Linked DNA regions of Callithrix jacchus. The protein of the gene in region 1 interacts with the protein of each later gene in a biochemical or structural test. Links are inferred from orthologs where the notes say so. Each region holds a gene or a part of one and is shown on either strand. Other genes may lie near its edges.

The links.
Region 2: the proteins of EHD1 (region 1) and SNAP29 form a complex in vitro, tested with the Homo sapiens proteins (2 studies listed by BioGRID). The link is inferred for Callithrix jacchus from reciprocal best matches to the Homo sapiens genes EHD1 and SNAP29.

The regions. Positions count from the first base shown.
Region 1 is NC_133511.1:121,931,792-121,935,308, forward strand, and holds part of EHD1 (EH domain-containing protein 1), read right to left. Parts: intron 518-3,517; coding exon 105-517; intron 1-104. UniProt on the Homo sapiens protein: ATP- and membrane-binding protein that controls membrane reorganization/tubulation upon ATP hydrolysis. In vitro causes vesiculation of endocytic membranes. Acts in early endocytic membrane fusion and membrane trafficking of recycling endosomes.
Region 2 is NC_133502.1:193,253,535-193,257,051, forward strand, and holds part of SNAP29 (synaptosomal-associated protein 29), read right to left. Parts: intron 1,880-3,517; coding exon 1,683-1,879; intron 1-1,682. UniProt on the Homo sapiens protein: SNAREs, soluble N-ethylmaleimide-sensitive factor-attachment protein receptors, are essential proteins for fusion of cellular membranes.

The DNA.
Region 1 (3,517 bases):
AGTGAGCTGGGATGGGTCTTGGGCAGTCCTGGGACCCTCAGTGCCAGTCTCAGAGCCCCACCGCCCTGCCTGGCAATAGGCCGCTCCCCTCACCCAGGGCCTACCTTGGCCAGCCGCGCCCGCTTGATCAGGTCATTGAGCTTCCTGAGGGCAGCGTTTCGGGGCAGAGACTGGATGTCCTTGAAGAGGTCCTGCTCCTCGGCCTCAAAGAGCTTGCGGTTGTCGGGGATGAGGAGCGGGTGGGACCAAAAGGAGCCGATGTAGACTCTGACCACCTCAGGGGTGTTGATGATCTTGCCCAGGGACCACATGAGGGCCCCGTACACCCGCATCAGCTGCTGCGTCTCGATCTGGTCTGCCTTGTTCAATACCACGCGGATCTTGTCCTCGTGGTTCTTCAGAGCCTTGATCACTTCCGAGAACTCATCAGAGATGTCCAGCTTATGGGCATCGAAGAGCAGGATGATGCGGTCCACCCGCTCGGCGAACCACTCCAGGACAGCTGCAAAGTCATAGCCTGGGGAGAGAGAAGGGAGAGCTCAGGGGCGCCAAGGGACCCGCTGCTCTGATGGTTCTCATCTCTAACCTGGCCTGGTATTTCTCAGCCTGAGATCGTTTTTGAAATTCCTAGAAGGGGCCAGCATGGTGGCTCACGCCTATAATCGCAGCACTTTGGGAGGCCGAGGTGGGCAGATCATGACGTCAAGAGATGGAGACTGTACTGGCCAACATAGTGAAACCTCGTCTCTACTAAAAATACTAAAATTAGCCGAGCGTGGTGGTGCGTGCTCGTAGAACCCAGCCACTTGACAGGCTGAGGCAGGAGAATCGTTTGAACCCAGAGACAGAGGTTGCAGTAAGCCAAGATTGCACCATTGCACTCCAGCCTGGGCAACAGAGTGAGACTCCATCTCAAAAAAAAAAAAGATTCCTAGAAGGCACTCATCTAGACGGTACAGCACCCTGAAGGCAGGATCACCTTCCCTGTTCCTGCCCCCGCCACAACACTCGCCGACCCATGTAGCACCTGCCGTAAACACGTGCTAATGCAAAAGTTGTCCCACAGTCCAAGCTCTAAAGTGGGTTGGACAAGGGCAAGAGTGAGGAGGAGACCTAGCACTGTGCTCAGCATGGCACAGAGGGTAGAACACAGACTCCAGTGTTGCCACCTGCCAGCTGTGTGCCCTGGGATGGCCGTGACAAGAGGCGCCTGCAACAGTAAGTGCTGCTGCTCCTCATTCAGTGTGGATGTGCCAGGCTTCCCAGTTTGCAGGGATCTCACTTATTTTCTGCAACAAAGGTTGGCAAACTACAGCTCCGGGATCAAACATGGCCCACCACCTGTTTATGTAAATAAAGTTTTATTGAAACAAAGCCATGCTCATTTGTATTATCCATGGCTTCTTTTGTCTGACACAGCAGAGTTCAGTCATTGTGACAGAAACTATAAGGTCTGCAAAGCTGGAAGAATTAACTATCTGACCTTACAGAAAAAGTTTGCTGACCTCTGCTCTACAAGAAAAGCAACCCAGGAAGTGCTACAAACCACTTCCCCTTCCTGGGTCTTAAATACTTCTCCAAAGAAGTGGCTGGACTGGATAGACTCCAGCTTTAAGCTCTACAGTCTTTCTTTGGTTTTTAATTTTATATTCATTTTTTCAGAGACAGGGTTTTGCTCTGTCACTGGGGCTGAAGCACAGTGGCACAGTCTTGGCTCACTGTAACCTTGAACTCCTGGGCCCAAGCCACCCCCCACCTTAGAGTCCTGAGTAGCTGGGACTACAGGCATGTGCCACCATGTCTAGCAAATTGTTAAATTTTTATTTTGTAGAGGTGGGGGTCTCATTAAGTTGTCTACGCTGAACTCCTGGGCTCAAGAGAGCCTCCCACCTCAGCCTCCCAAAGTTCTGGGAAGACAGACCTGGGCCAGCATGCCTGGATTCTAAACTCTATTCTATATTGCTTCCTACCAACCTGTTACGGCCCAGTGAAGGCCCAGCAATTAAAGTGAACTCTGTCGCCTGTGGCAGACTGCTCGTTGGAATTCCATCTAAAGGAGGAACTAGACATAACTATCTAGTTTCAGCTGGATTCGTGGCCTCGCAGCTTGAGACTGCATTTCCCAGCATCCCTTGCAGCAGAAAAGAACAAGAAAAGGTGCATGAGCCCTTTGTTGTCTTCTCCCTCCTGAGGACTGGGACGCAGGCGTGATGGGAGGAGCCGGAGCAAGCACCCCGTGTTCAGAGATGAAAGCTGCATGTTCAGAATGGCCTTGGACTATTGCTTTTCACATAGACTATCAGATATCTGACTTAAGCCAGTGAGTTTTGGGTTCTGTAACCGAGGTTTAATTGGAATCCTGTTTGACAACCAGGCCTCTTCAAAAATATTTCCACTTCGGCCTGGGCAACATGGTGAAATCCCATCTCTACAAAGGTGGTGCAGGCCTGTAGTCCCAGCTACTTGGGAGGCTAAGGCAGGAGGATAACCTGCACCCAGGAGGTTGAGGCTGCAGTGAGCCACGATCACGCCACTGCACTCCAGCCTGGGTGACACAGTGAGACCACCTCAAAAACAAAACAGAACAGCCAGGTGCGGTGGCGCACACCTGTAATCCCAGCACTTTGGGAGGTTGAGGCAGGTGGATCATGAGGTCAAAAGTTCAAGATCCAGCCTGGCCAAGATGGTGAAACCCCTTCTCTACTAAAAATACAAAAAATTAGCTGGGCATGGTGGCACATCCCTGTAGTCCCAGCTACTAGGAAGGCTGAGGTAGGAGAACTGCTTGAAGCCAGGAGGTGGAGGTTGTAGTGAGCCAAGACTGCACCACTGAGCTCTAGCCTGGCGACAGAGCAAGACTCCTTCTCAAAAAACAAAACAAAACAAAAAAATCCACACCTCTTCCTCTGCCCCTAGAGTAAAACTTCTCTGTCCCTCATGGTCTAGGAAGAGTAAGGAGTGACAGGCAGGCTGTGTTGAAACAAAGGCCTGGAGTCCTGGAGAGGGGCCACATCCTCTCTGGCTGATTCTGGGCCAGCCTCCGTGTCCCTGGCTCAGTGGCTCAGTCTTCCCACATGTCTCAGGTCACCCAAATGTAGGCCAGCCCTCTTCAGAAGCACCAAGTACTTCCCAGAGAGCAGCCAGGCTCTGGAAATGAGCTGGAGAAGCCACTCCTGCACGGGACAGTCAGGATTGCCCAACTCAGACCCAAACCCTTTCTCACCCCCACAGCCTGCTCCCAGCATCTCCGTGAAAAACACTCACCACCCCCTCACCAAACTGGGGATGGAGACAGGCGCTCTCTAGACTGAGAGGGACAGAAAAGCAGCAGCGAGGCAGGAGCTCCAGGGACAAAGCATCAAGGAAAAGTGGCATCTGGGCAAGGTCACTCACAGTGATGGGAGGCCAGCCCTGCCATCCCCAGTGGGAACCTGCTGCTGACTGTTCCACTGCATGGGGCCCCCTTGGTGGCATCCACTGCTCCCACCCTGTGAAGCCCTCCAGGGGGAAGGCAGGT
Region 2 (3,517 bases), on another chromosome or scaffold:
CAAAATTTCATGTATGTTTTTATTACATTTTGAGCCAAAACTTGAGGAAAGCAATTTCTAACTTTTTTAATTATTTAGTTTTAAATTTTTTTTTTTTTTTAAGACAGAGTTTCGCTGTTGTTACCCAGACAATGCAGCCTCCACCTCGTGGGTTCAAGCAATTCTCCTGCCTCAGCCTCCCGAGTAGCTGGGACTACAGGCGCACACCACCATGCCCAGCTAATTTTTGTATTTTTAGTAGAGACGGGGTTTCACCATGTTGACCAGGATGGTCTCGATCTCTTGACCTCATGATCCACCCGCCTCGGCCTCCCAAAGTGCTGGGATTATAGGCGTGAGCCACTGTGCCCGGCCTAATTTTTTTTTTTTTAAGACGGAGTCTTGCTCTGTTGCCCAGGCTGGAGTGCAGTGGCATGATCTTGGCTTACTGCAACCTCTGCCTCCTGGGTTCAAGCAATTCTCCTGCCTCAGCCTCCCAAGCAGCTGGGACTACAGGCGCACGCCACCACAACCAGCTAATTTTTTGTATTTTTAGTATAGACAGGGTTTCCCCATATTGGCCAGACTGGTCTCAAACTCCTGACCTCATGATCCACCCACTTTGGCTCCCAAAGTGCTGGGATTACAGGCGTAAGCCATCACATCTGGCCTTTTTTTTTTTTTTGACAGGGAGACTATCACTGAGGCTGTAGTGCGATGGCACCATTGTAGCTCACTCCAGTCTCTAACACCTGGGCTAAAGCGATCCTTCTACCTCAGTCTCCCCTGTAGCTAGGACTATGGGCCCGTGACTTTTTTTTTTTTTTGAGACAGGGTCTCCGTCTGTAGCCCAGGTTGGAGTGCAGTGGCACCATCACGGCCCACTGCAGCCTTGACCCCCAGTCCTCAAGAGAGCCTCTTACCTTAGCCTCCTAAGTAGCTGGGATTACTGGTGTCCACCACAATGCTTGGATACTTTTTGTAAAGACAGGGGTCCCACTATATTGCCCAGGCTGGTCTTGAACTCCTAGGCTTAAGTGATACACCCACCTTGGCTTCCCAAAGTGCTGGAGTGACAGGCATGAGCCACTGGACTTCTTTTTTTTTTTTTTTTTGGGACAGAGTCTCACTTTGTCACCCAGGCTGGAGTGCAGTGGCACAATCTTGGCTTACTGCAACCTCTGCCTCCTGGGTTCAAGCAATTCTCCTCTCTCAGCCTGCTTAGTAGCTGTGATTGCAGGCGTGCACCACCATGCCCACCTAATTTTTTCTATTTTAGTAGAGATGGCGTTTCACCATGTTGGTCAACTCCTGACCTTGCGATCCGCCCCACTTGTCCTCCCAAAGTGCTGGGATTATAGATGTGAGCCACCGCACCCAGCCCCTAAAGACTTTTTAAAGCAAAAATTATGTAAAGTGAGTCACTTTGTACTGATTATGCTCTCTGAGGTGAACACCCTCTCTTTCAGAGTAGTGGGGTCACAATTATTGGAGAAGCAACTGACAGACTAGATGTCAAACAAATGAATATAGGAACAGGGAAGAATAGCTCCTGGTTTCACAATGTTTGAGGACAAATCCCCCGATGAGTAACTTAAAGGGCTGCTAAATCTGTTTATGGCACGGATGTGTGAAAGTCTTGGTCATTTACACTACACCCCACTTCTGCTCCCTTATACCCAGATGGTAGAAGACACACTCACCTGCTGTTGGGCTGGGAAATGAGGGTGCCATTATGTTCAACTGAGGTCTCTGCTGGTTTGGATTTGAAGTAATTGACAAATCCCCCAAACACACTCTTAATGTTATTGATGTGTTTCTGGCTGATCTTCAAATCTTGGTCCATCTTGTCCACCATCTTCTCTGTGCGCTCCAGGACTCCTCGCTGACGGGCAAGCTCCTGAGGAAACCGAGAGGCAGTGGCATTATAGCTTTGTGACCTCTCCCCCAGGGCAGTCAAGGAATACATGCAGCAGCCACTTCATAAACTCTCAGTGGGCACATCTGGAGGTGGGTGATCTCGTCTGTGAGGGGACACGACCGTTTCCAACAAGTTCCTCTGCCTCTCCCTCCCTGCCCTACCTCTGCTTGCTTTCCTCATTTGTTCGTGACACCCTTTTCCTGAGAGGTTGGCTCATGGTGCCATGTTAAGATGGATGGCAGAAGCCAGGTGTAGTGGCTTACATCTGTAATTCCAGCACTTTGGGAGGCCGAGGCAGGCATATAACAAGGTCAGGAGTTCAAGACCAGCCCGGCCAACATGGTGAAACCCCGTCTCTACTAAAAATACAAAAATTAGCAGGGCATGGTGGTAGGTTCCTGTAATCCCAGCTACTCAGGAGGCTGAGGCAGGAGAATTGCTTCAACCCGAGAGGTGAAGGTTGCAGTGAGCCGGGATCACACCATTGCACTTCAGCCTGGGTGTCAGAGCAAGACTCTCAGAAGCAAAACAAAACAAAACATGGAAGGCAGTGTACCTGTGAGGGTCAGAGTCCAGGGCCTGAACTGCAACCAGACTCTCTCTAGCCCCTAAACTCGGGGAACCCTCATAGGCTTGGGCCTGGCACTGACCCCTGGACTCTGGTTCTTACATTCTTTAGAAAGTTCCCACTTTAGGAGTTCCCACTGGGCCACCTGAACCTCCTGGCCATGGTCAAATCCTCAAATTCGATTTCAGGTACCAGTGTCTTCTCTGGGCCCTATTAGTGTCTGACTCCAGTCCACCCACAGTTCCAGCTTTAAAACCTGTTATCATGGGTGACCCTGTCCCAAGGCCTTTGCACGTACCACTGTCTCTGCCTGTAATCTCTGCCAGATAACTTGTATAGCTCAGCCTCTCATCCCTCATCCAACTAGGGTCTCCACTCAAAGGCCACTCTCTCAGAGAAGCCTTCCCAGACATCTTCCCTAAAGGAGAACTCCTTCCAACCACCACCCCTCCTCTCCACCTTTTTTTTTTTTTGAGATGGAGTCTTGCTCTGTCACCCAAGCTCAGAGGTTCTCACTGCAACCTCCACATCCTGTGTTCAAGAGATTCTCCTACCTCAGTCTCCTAAGTAGCTGAGATTCCAGGCGCCTGCTACCACACCCAGCTAGTTTTTTATATTTTTAGTAGAGATGGGGTTTCATCATGTTGGCCAGGCTAGTTTCGAACTCCTGACCTCAGGCAATCCACCCAACTCAGCCTCCCAAAGTGCTGGGATTCCAGGTGTGAGCCACCGCACCCAGCCTCTCTTTTCTTTATGGCATATGAGCTTCATGAGGCAGGGACTTGCTCTGTTCACTGCTGAGTCTCTGCAAATCTGCCCAGTGGTTCTCGTTGTGAAAATATACTCACCACAACATCAACACTACCACTTTCCTTTATTCATGACAAACTTGCTTCAGTCCCTAGTTCAGGACTGATCTACAGCTGTGGCCCATCTGTGAGCTGTCTTTCCAGCCAGAAGGCTCTCGAGCTTCATTTCTCCTGCTCTCCCCTCAGCTGCCTTCCTCTAAATCTGCTATCCATGCATCACCCTGTGGCTTAGCAATTACA